Callithrix jacchus: one gene and its partners. The protein of the gene in region 1 interacts with the protein of each later gene in a pairwise test. Links are inferred from orthologs where the notes say so. Each region holds a gene or a part of one and is shown in the gene's direction. Other genes may lie near its edges.

Region 1 (3,749 bases):
CAAATGTATTAAAATCCAAACCACGGCTAGGTGCGGTGGCTCACGCCTATCCCAGCACTTTGGGAAGCCCAGGCGGGCAGATCACAAGGTCAGGAGTTCCAGACCATCCTGGCTAACACGGTGAAACCCCCGTCGCTACTAAAAATACAAAAAATTAGCCAGGCGTGGTGGCAGGCTCTTGTAGTCCCAGCTACTCAGGAGACTGAGGCAGGAAAATCGCTTGAACCTGGAAGGCGGAGGTTGCAGTGAGCCGAGATGGCGAAACTGCATTCTGGCCTGGCGACAGAGCAAGACTCTGTCTCAAAAAAAAATCTAAACCACTTCAAGATTTGGTCACATGTGCACGTGTTATCCTCCTGTCACTCTTCCCCACTTAATCATTGAGAGGTCACTCTGACATGACAGTTCCTAGCGCAAGCCAAGTTTATTGTTCCCTAAACCACTCAGCCTTTGCCCATTTTAGTTTAAATATCGTTTCAGAAAGCCATTTCGATTGTCTATTAAAGCACTCTTCCTTCTCACTACTTATTTTGATTATTTATTTTTACCTATTTCCTCCCACTGAATGCAAATCCCATGAGAAACGGGGGTATGTTCTGTTCATGGCTTTTTCTTGAACACGTGGAATATATTAGCGCTCAATAAATATCTTTAATCAAACATCTTTAATCCTACTAAAAAGCGTTATACTCATAGAAACGGCACTAATTCTGCTGTAAAATTCCGAGCTGAATTCAAAGATGATACGCTTGAAGTGAAACTTCCCAAGAGCCTGAGCATAAAAAGGTGAAGTGGATGCCATCAAGACACTGGGTCTGGGCCGGGACGCCGAGGAGCACAGGTGACTTGGCCACTACTGCATTTTCTACTCTTTGTGACAGTATACGAGCATCTCTTACTTTTGCTTAAAGAAAGAATAAAGTGACGAGGAGAGAATAAAAGATAAATAATAATTCCTAGGAAAGGAATACAGCAGCTTCTCAAATACCACGACGCCTGGCAGCTCAAAGAACGCGGACTGAAGGCCTTTGCCTTCCGTTACCCCCTCCACCTCTGCTTCGGCACTTGCACGCCTCCCGCCTCTAGCGTCCCGCTTCTTTCCCACAATACTCCTCGTCCTAGGGTACGCAGCCGCAGAACGAACCATAGAGAAAAAGGCTATTGGTTGGTGATGCAGCCAATGAGCTGGCCTGTTACTAGTCTGCGGTGTCCTGTGGTGTAGGGGAAGCGCTTTAGGCCTGGAAGCCCTACGCGTCCGGTTGGGTTTAGCACGATGAGCTCCATCGGCACCGGGGTGAGTTTGCTGTCTCTCTGTGTCATAGTCTAACCTAAGGTTTGGGTTTGAAGGGAACTCCAGCAGACCACATGGGGTGCCCGGACCCGGGGTGCTCTGGGGCCGTCTTCGGCTGGGTGGGCCACTTGCAGCTGTTTGGAGACCGGTCATCTTTATCCCCTCTATGCTAGGCCCGCGTCTCAGGTGACTGTGACTCCTGAAGCTTTTCAGCCCGGGTGTAGCCGGTTTGGCGTCCCCGCAGTGAGGTTTGGAGCAGCTTTGGATTGCTGAGTCACTTTCTTCAGCCGCTTAGGGAAACCGAAAGTGGAAACTCATGCGGCTTGAAATAGTGCGTTCTCTTGAGACAGCCACCGAGGCAGTGCGGTTTGGGATTCCACAGTCTGGAGACCGTGCTTTCTGTGGACTGCGTTTGCAGTTCCCAGGGTGCTGCCGATTCACGGGCCCTCTCTGTCTTTCCTTTAAGTGTACTGATCATCGACCGCTCAGCCTAAGAGTCACTGGAAACCCTGTCGGAACAGAATTAAAATGATCCGAAAAGCTAAAATCTCCTGAATCCTTCAGTATTTCCCTTGTCCTTGTTTTTCCTGCAAAAATTACCTTGCTTTGTCCTTGTTTTTCCTGCAAAAATTACCTAACAGCGCTTTAAGGCATTTATTCCGTAAATGTTTAAATGATCACATAGAAACTTAACCATTTCAGACTTTTGATAGACTGTTCTTGCAGTGAGACCTGTTTACTTGTTTGGCTTTCCTTTGTTAAACGTATAGCCTATGTGCAGTCAGTTTACTCCTTTTATGTACTTCTCTACATAAAAAATACAGTTTCTAAAAGATTTATTGGTCATTTGCACTAGAGTTATTGAATAATGAGTTTCTCAGTTCATCAATTTCTACTTCTTAACAAGATTCTCATGCTCAGCCTTAAGTTCAAGTACTGGTGTCTAAATTTGATAATAGGCAACTCAGTGTCTGGAGGGGTTAAATCCATTCGGTTATGAATGCTAAGTTCTGCCATACTTTTCTTGGATAAGTGCTCAGTAATCTTGTAGCAAATTGACGTTGCAACTGTATTAATATTACTTTCAATTAATAGTATTTCATTCTACAAATTTTTTTTTTTTTTTTTTTGAGATGGAGTCTCGCTATGTTGCCAGGCTGGAGTTCAGTGGTGCAATCTCGGCTCACTGCAACCTCCACCTCCCGGGTTCAAGCGCTTCTCCTGCCTCAGCTTCCCAAGTAGCTGGGACTACAGGCATGAGCCACTGTGCCCAGCTAATTTTTCTATTTTTATTTTTATTTTTGAGATGGAGTTTCGCTCTTGTTACCCAGGCTGGAGTGCAATGGCACGATCTTGGCTCACCGCAACCTCCGCCTCCTGGGTTCAGGCAATTCTCCTGCCTCAGCCTCCTGAGTAGCTGGGATTACAGGCACGCGCCACCATGCCCAGCTATTTTTTTGTATTTTTAGTAGAGACGGGCTTTCACCTTGTTGACCAGGATGGTCTCGATCTGTTGACCTTGTGAGCCACCTGCCTTGGCCTCCCAAAGCGCTGGGATTACAGGTGTGAACCACCGTGCCTGACTTAGCAAGTTCATTTTTATTTATTTTTTTACTATACCCTCAAAAAGTATTCCTTTCCACCTCTTCTCTAAGCTACTACCATTGTCTTTGGAACACTTTATCTTTACTTCTGTTGTTCTCTCAACAGTTCATTTTCCACATAAAACCAGAATGAGGTTTTGAAAAATGTAGATCGTACCACCCCACTGCTTAAATCCTCATTGCATTTAGAATAAAATACAAAGTCCTTATTCCATCCTAGAAGACCCATCATAATTTGGCCCTCAACTACCTCACTAACACAGTCTGCTCTTTTTTTCTGCTTCTTACAGTGCTTGGGACACAGTGAGCTTACTTCTGTTCCTTGACTGTGCTAGCCTTCTTTCAACCCTAAGATCTTTGTGCCAAATGCCAAGAAGGCTTTTCCATCATATCTTAAATGGCTAGCTCCTTGTCATTTAGGTTTGACTCATCCTAAATATAACTGCCCCAGAAGGCCTTCCCTGATGATGTAGTCTGTAGTAGTTTCTTCTATCGCTTTACTCTTTTATTTTCATCTTAGTGCCTTTTCTGATTTGCTGCTGTATCTCTGGCACCTGGATTCCTGTCTGATTTGAAATTGAAGGACTTGGTGAATGAGTGGTCATCTTTGTATTCCATATTAGACCAACATAATAGATGCTCATTAAGTGTTTGATGAGTTGAATGAAGTCTTTTAGTTTGTTAATGGCAGAGTTATGATTACAAATTTAAATATTCTAACTCCAGTGCTGGTTCTAAATATTAATCTTTTTCAAAAACCAGGTTTTGTGTGTGTGTATGTGTGTGTGTGTGTGTGTGTGTGTGTGCGCGCGCGCGCGCGCACGTGTGTGGGTTTTTTTTTTTTTTTTTTGAGA
Region 2 (3,749 bases), on another chromosome or scaffold:
TCTTTCCCTGAACTCACTTTTGTGACTCTTTGCAATCAGGTGTATCTGTTCACCTCATTTTTTTCACAATTAGGTGAAATGAGGAAGTAGTGTAAAGCTAGTTTTTCTTTTGCTGCCACAAAGGTCTACATAACTGCCAGTTCCTTTTCACAGTGAAAATGATCCTAACCAGATGAATGAGGGGTGCAAAAGACATAACACAAATCTGAGAAGTTAAAACTGAGCTTATACCTAAGTGCAGCTAAGCCTAAGCAGAGCTCAAGCCTGCCTGCTGAAGTCCCAAGTCTTCTACCTTGATAAAGGGTACTTCCTCCACGTTTTTCTGCTCCTGCCTCCCCCATATTTTTTCAAAAATTGTGGCTGATTTATCTAAGCCCTATGCTGCTTGGCAGTATTTTGAAATTAGAAATCTCCTTCCAGTTTTCCAGAGGTGACTAAATCCAAGAAGCCTTAGGAATGTAGAGGATAGGATAATATAAACAACAGATCTGAGACAGCCATGTCCTGCAGCAGTTGTGGTTAGTTGCTTCTTTTCCCTTTTTCGTCCATCAGTGATGGAAGCTGGATTGGGTCCACTGCATAAAGCTCGGGGACCAGAGCATAAGTTTGCTATTTGATTCTGGAAAAACTCTAAGGATCCAGAGTCAGCCGAGGAATTGCAGGAACGCTGGTGTTTCAAAGGGCCTAGGAAAAGCCAAGAGTCCTGGCTGACCAGCCCTGACACTGTCTTACAGGCTGCAGGTTTACCTTGGTTAGCACAACAGGCCAAGCTCTCCCTTGCTCTGAGTCGACATGACATGATTTGCTCCCTTTCGGCTGTGTCAGTTCTGCAAACCAGATACCAGAGGCTGCAAGCACGGGAGAGCCTGCCTTTCTGGAACACCATTTGTTTGGACAGGACAGGCCACTAAGGCGTTTTCATCTCTTTAAAGCTCCCAGGGCAGAGAGCATACTTGAGGAATTCCTTTTTTCAAAGATTTTTTTCTTTTTTGCCCCTTCCAACATTTTGTTTAAGAGAAAATGAGATGTCTATCTTCTGTTTCCTTATTTTTTTTCAGGAAAGCAAAGGGTTGTTGACTTCCTCCCTCTCCCCTCCCTTCCTTCCTTCTTCCCGAAGGTACTCATCTGAGAAAAAGAGAACGAAGTATTGTTCCTGTTCTCTTTCTTAAGTCATTCGAAACACTGTCCCTGCGAGTTCTTTAAGTTCCCTGCAATCTGTACACAAGTGAAAGAGGGAGAGAGAGAGGGAGAGAGACAGAGAGAGCAGGGATCAGGTAAAGGAGTGGGGCTGCTGCAGCCATTCAGACCTCAGGAGCTGGTAAGTTACCCATGCAATCATTTCTGCTTCCATTTCAAGGTTCCTGGGGTGGATACTGCTGTGGGCATCTTCAACAGAAAATACCTTACTGAGTATAGCCTTAACCAAAGGGTGTGAGTGATAGATGGCCCAGAATTTAAGCTAATACCGTTTTTTGTAAGGGACTACTGATGCTTTGCAGAGCTAAGGCTGGTAAAACTAGAAATAGAATTACATTGGGACTAAAGAGGACACTGTGTTAAATCTGAATTTTGGCGTAGATCATGTGGCTGGGTGAACCAGGAGCCACTGGAGTATGAGGTATGTCCCACTGTAGAATTTGCTCTTCCTCAGTACTATGTCCTGGAAACCTTATCAGGCTGTCTGTTAAGGACGGTGGTTTTTCTCTGGGGTTTTTGTTAACATGTTGCCTGGATTGAGGTGCCCTTCTCCTGTTCTTTTCTTTCCATTCCGCATCCCCCTAAAGGACAATTGTTAATTGTTATATGATGGTTATTCTGCATCACCAAAGTAGGAGGGAAAGAAAGAAGGGAATGTCACTTGGAAATAGTTCTGCATGTGGGGAGCTTATGTGTTCAGGTTCCATGTGCAATGTCATCTGCCACATGAAAGAAGGCAAAGGTTTTGGGGCATATAGCTTTAGTTTTGGAAAACAATATGCAGCTAGAATCGGAGGATTAAGATTGATCATTTATGTCAGTAGGAGGGGAAAACTAAGTTATAGCACAATTGAAAAACATTCACTCAGTGCCTGGTTTTCCAAGCACCAAATAGAGCACAGCCAGCTAGTCAGGCTTATATAGACAACTAGTTTTTAAAAGTCTAACTGGCTTCAGTTAAATTTTTCATAAAGGATAATGTTACCAGGAACCCATCCTCACAAGCCATGGGGGAGCCGAAATCATGTTGTCAAAAATAGGTCAGAAAGGTCACTCCGAGAGACTCAGTATGTTTTCCAATATTAATACTTCAATTCAGAGAGATGCCGAATGGGGGAAAGCCAATGGCCATGCACACTTTTAAAAAATATTCACTCCTATGAAATTTACTGACTGAAATCACCTGGGATGTGAAGAGTAAGATAAAAATAGCTAGACTCTCATTTTTTAAATTAATTTGGCCAGACTATGCTTTAACCACATGCAAGTAATTAATCTTTATTCAAAAATGAACCATCATCTTATGAAGGATGAGAAAACATGATAGAACTAGACTGTGATGTAGCTTTTGTTCCATTAGTCAGACCTCTTTGTTCGTCTCCTTTTTTCAATAGACTTTCCTTAGGAGCACCATAAAAGGAGCAATGTAAAGAGACGTGATTAGAGTTTGCCAGCTTGCTGATGCAAAATTATTCTAGTAACAATTGAAAATGGTTTCCAGCTACCCTACCTCCTCCGCTAACTACTCAATTTTTATAGATCTTCAGATCAAACGGTAGCCGGGATAGATTGTTCAGGGATTATTGCATCATTTATCAGCAGTTGTGGCCCCAGAAGAAAACGCAGGTCTGCGATCTTCACTTGCTCCTTTCAGTTTCATTTCTCTTGATAATGTGTTTAATTTTGTGTCCAATTAAAACAACATCACAGAACACATTCTAATTTTGTTTACTGAGTGAAAGCATCAGATGCAACACAATAGGAAACAAATGACAGCAGAGTCATCTGTTAAAGACAAGAAAGGCAATTAAATTAAAGACAAGGAAGGCACAAGGTGGGTAGGCCAGTGGCTCAGAAAACAGCCCCACTGCTAGCATGAGTCTTCGCTATGGCTTGAGATTAAGAAGCTGAGGATATGCAGTTTTCTTTAAAAGAAAAAATTGTACTCAATATTTCCATTTAAGTTGTTAAGTCATTGCCGTGAAATTATTTCTCGGATCCTGGGGAATAAGAACTTTAGCCACCTGAAGAACAAAAGCCATCGACTGGTTTAGTCTAAGTCACTACCACTCAATCTATCTTTACTCACTCAACTCCAAAGAGTGAGTTGGCATTTGTGGAAACTTCCAGTGTGTGATTCCTTGGGGGTCATGGTGTGATATCATTGGGGGAATTCCAGTTTGAAGTGATCCAGAATTTGAGACATACAATATTTTACTCACTCATTTCTGCCAAAACTATACACATAACTAAATTATAATTTCTTACATACATTTTAAATCATGTTAGGATGTGTGTCCTGTAGATCTGTGTGCTGAGATGTGAGTCAAATTAGAGTGAATAGGGCACAGGCTGTTGTCACACTAATTTGAGTTTGAATTTCAGCTTCCTTGCTTACTGATGATGGGCCTCAGGCCAGGTACTTAACTGCTCTAAGTCTCAGTGTCCCCAAATGTAAAATGGCATCAACATAATGGAATTGTGACAATTAAATACAACTATTGACATAAAACACTTAACATAATGTTTCGTAAGTAGTAGGAGTCAGTCAA
Region 3 (3,749 bases), on another chromosome or scaffold:
AGACACAAGTAAATATGCTAATGTTATATATCAAGGGCAGCATTTAAATTCTGTTGGGGCAGTTTGTTTAACAAATGTTGTTGACATACTGGCTCTCCATCGGGCAGAAGTTAGACCCCAGCTCACACATGCATAAGAATAAATTCCAGTTATATTAAAGATTTAAATTTTTTTTTTTTTTTGAGACGGAGTTTCGCTGTTGTTACCCAGACTGGAGTGCAATGGCACGATCTCGGCTCACTGCAACCTCCGCCTCCTGGGTTCAAGCAATTCTCCTGCCTCAGCCTCCCGAGTAGCTGGGACTACAGGCACGCACCACCATGCCCAGCTAATTTTTTGTATTTTTAGTAGAGACGGGGTTTCACCATGTTGACCAGGATGGTCTCGATCTCTCGACCTCGTGATCCACCCTCCTCGGCCTCCCAAAATGCTGGGATTATAGGCGTGAGCCACCCCGCCCGGCCAAAGATTTAATTTTTTTTTTAATAAAAAGAAGAGGGGTGGGTGCGTTGGCTCACGCCTGTAATCCCAGCATTATGGAAAGCCGAGGCGGGTGGATCATTTGAGGACAGGAGTTCGAGATCTGATTAGCCAACACAGCGAAAACCGGTCTCTACGAAAAATATAAAAATTAGCCAGGCGTGGTGGCGGGCGCCGGTAATCCCAGCTACTCGGTCGGCTGAGGCACGAAAATCGCTTGGACCCGGGAGGCGGAGGTTGCAGTGAGCCGAGATCGCACCAAAGTACTCCAGCCTGTGCAACAGAGCAAGACTGTGTCTCAAAAAAAAGAGAAAAGTTAAAAAAAGGAAAAGAAATGAAAAAGCTAATTCACTGGGGAAACTTGGGGAAACTTTCTAAGCTGGTAGCCGAGCGTGCGACCTTCTCATTCCGCCTCTTCCATTGGGTTCCCATGACTTACGTCGCAGGATATGTAGCCAATGGGAACTAGGCATGGGTGAAGAGCTCACCAATGGGGTAGGGGCGGGAGATTTGAAAGGTCCTGGATCAGGGCGCGGCGTGACTGATTCAGTTGCTTGCGGGAGGCAGGGAGAGTAGCAGTGCCTTGGGCTCCAGGTGAGCTGGCCTCCTTTCACAGGCCTTGCGCCGGGAGTGGGCAGATGATCGGGCAGGTCGGAGGTCCACCGGGCTGGCCCGCGCGCACTCCGCAAGGCTGGAAGGAGGTAGGGACGATAGCAGGGTGGGGGAGGTGAGACCAGCGCCTGGACTGGGGCTAGTGTGCTGACCTGGTCCTTTTTACGAGCCCAGGCTAGCGCTTTCGACCCGATCGCTCCAACCCCTCCCTCTCTTTCTTTTTCTCTGCTTCTCACGGCTGTTTCCCTTCTCCGCCCAGCTCTTCTCCGCCTTTCCCTCTAAGGATGGCCCAGAAGGAGAACGCCTACCCCTGGCCCTACGGCCGGCAGACGGTAAGGCCCTTCCCTCCATCCCCGCCCCCACCTTGTCCCTGCACGGCGAGTTCCTGCTGGGAGACTTGAGATCCTGCAGTGAGCAATCCTTTAAGCACCTTCTTCCCCGTTCTGCTCCAAAGTACGGGTCCCAAGAATTTGGTGACAGAACCCAGAATGGTCATTTATAGCCACATCCTGCCAACTTTAATCTGACAAGCCAGTGACTCCCAACCGGTGAGGACCCCTGGGGCTGAGCCTGCTCATCACATACCAATGATATCTGGGACTGAGTAGGCAGGGCCTGGCCTTCACAACCCATGTGCTGAAAAAATAAACTAGGCAGCAAATAGAAAGGACTCTAAAAGGCTATAAGGTTACTGTTGAAACAGTCCAGGGCAAGTCTAAATTAATAATTTGGAATTTATTTTAATGACTAAGGTGAGGTAAGGATCTAAATGGACTTATTTCCCAATTGTCCAGACAGATTTCATTGAAGGGTCTCCCCTGATTTTTTATTATATATAAATTCCCACATAGGTGTGGGTCTATTTCTGGACTGTATTTTATTCAACTTGGTTATTTGTAGATCTATACCAATATCACTTTGGGGAACAGGTTTTTAGAGGCACTGGGACTTTCTTCTCTTGGCTGAAGAAGACAGAAGGGGCCCTGCACAGGTTTTGCTCCCTGCTTGTGGAGCTCGGGCTTCCTAAAGAGTCTGTGTCCTTGTGCATCAGCTCCCTCCCTCATGGAGCACTGAATGAGGCTGTCAGGAATGGAGTCTGGATGAGAAACCACTGTCACTTTTACCTTGGTCACTCCTAAAAGTGCATCTATTACTTTGAGAAGTTGAAAGTGAGGCTGGGCACGGTGGCTCACGCCTGTAATCCCAGCACTTTGGGAGGCTAAGGCAGGTAGATCATGAGAACAAGATATCGAGACCATCCTGGCCAACATGGTGAAACCCTGTCTCTACTAAAAGTACAAAAATTAGCTGGGCATGGTAGTGGGCACCTTGTAGTCCTAGCTACTCGGAAGGTTAAGGCGGGAGAATCGCTTGAACCTGGGAGGCGGAGGTTGCAGTGAGCTTAGATTGCACCACTGCACTCCATCCTGGGCAACAGAATGAGACTCTGTCTCAAAAAAAAAAAAAAAAAAAAAAGAAGTTGAAAGTGAGAAGTGGTCTAGGCCCATCAGAGTAGCTCTTAGTGTCCCTAAAGCCTGTTCTTGCAAAGCTGTAAATCCAGGTTGTTGCTATAACATTCAAGGCCTCAAGGATCTTATCTAAGCCTTAATAAACTAAACTTTAAGGAAACTCTGAGAATACCTCTGTGCTAACCCCCTTGAATTATAGGTGTTTATTGACCCAGCCCTCTACTATGCTGTGAGTGAGGGGCTGGATGAATGACTGTGGTGTTATGGACAGATTGGACACCTTCATGCCTGTGAAGGTGGTGTGGGCCAGGGACAAAGAGGTGAAATGTTAGCTGTTGGGGTGAGTCCTTTGCCCCTTATCTTAGGCCTACTTAGGTTTATTAATAATCCATTTTAATATGATACTACAAGCAGAGCCTGGGAAGCAAAACTGTCATGTCAGTGTTTCTATTTGAATTGGGGGTGGGCGGGTGACTGGCTTTTTAGCAGAGGGCTGAAATGCTGCTTGCAGCACATTCCACCCCGGTCATCAAACAAAGGCACCCTCAGAGCTACCCCCTGCTCCTTCTCAGACTCCATCTGGCCTGAGCACCCTGCCCCAGCGAGTCCTCCGGAAAGAGCCTGCCACCCCATCTGCACTTGTCCTCATGAGCCGCTCCAATGTCCAGCCCACAGGTAACTGGGACAAGGGGGAGAGGACTGACTTGGGGAGATGAGAGTCTATGGGAGGGTGTAGGGAGGAGAATGTCATCCCTGTTCTCATTCAACTTACCTGTTCTCTCCTTAGCTGCCCCTGGCCAGAAGGTGGTGGAGAATAGCAGCGGGACACCCAACGTCTTAACGTAAGTGCCCCAAGCCTTGGGGTGGACAGGGATGAGGGGGGCAGTGAACATGCAGGAAGTCGGGGAGGTAAAATCTAAGGGCAGGAGGAGTAGGAATGAAGAAAAATGGGGCTGAGGACAGGATGGGATGAGGAAGCAGGGAAAAAGCAAACATCTTAGATAACCAAAACTGGTTCTGAGCTGCCTTCCCCCACTTTCTAAGCAGGCGGTCCTTCACAATTGATGACTTTGAGATTGGGCGTCCTCTGGGCAAAGGCAAGTTTGGAAACGTGTACTTGGCTCGGGAGAAGAAAAGCCATTTCATCGTGGCACTCAAGGTCCTCTTCAAGTCCCAGATAGAGAAGGA

The links.
Region 2: the proteins of PSMA3 (region 1) and ZNF366 interact in binary tests that used the Homo sapiens proteins (3 or more experiments, as listed by UniProt). The link is inferred for Callithrix jacchus from reciprocal best matches to the Homo sapiens genes PSMA3 and ZNF366.
Region 3: the proteins of PSMA3 (region 1) and AURKB interact in a two-hybrid assay, tested with the Homo sapiens proteins (2 studies listed by BioGRID and IntAct). The link is inferred for Callithrix jacchus from reciprocal best matches to the Homo sapiens genes PSMA3 and AURKB.

Annotation. Positions count from the first base shown.
Region 1 is NC_133509.1:92,903,396-92,907,144, forward strand, and holds the start of PSMA3 (proteasome subunit alpha type-3), read left to right. Parts: upstream 1-1,187; 5' UTR 1,188-1,273; coding exon 1,274-1,294; intron 1,295-3,749. UniProt on the Homo sapiens protein: Component of the 20S core proteasome complex involved in the proteolytic degradation of most intracellular proteins. This complex plays numerous essential roles within the cell by associating with different regulatory particles.
Region 2 is NC_133503.1:138,634,412-138,638,160, forward strand, and holds the start of ZNF366 (zinc finger protein 366), read left to right. Parts: upstream 1-1,192; 5' UTR 1,193-1,318; intron 1,319-3,749. UniProt on the Homo sapiens protein: Has transcriptional repression activity. Acts as a corepressor of ESR1; the function seems to involve CTBP1 and histone deacetylases.
Region 3 is NC_133506.1:74,675,280-74,679,028, reverse strand, and holds the start of AURKB (aurora kinase B), read left to right. Parts: upstream 1-1,028; 5' UTR 1,029-1,181; intron 1,182-1,351; 5' UTR 1,352-1,376; coding exon 1,377-1,424; intron 1,425-3,133; coding exon 3,134-3,236; intron 3,237-3,348; coding exon 3,349-3,403; intron 3,404-3,608; coding exon 3,609-3,749. UniProt on the Homo sapiens protein: Serine/threonine-protein kinase component of the chromosomal passenger complex (CPC), a complex that acts as a key regulator of mitosis.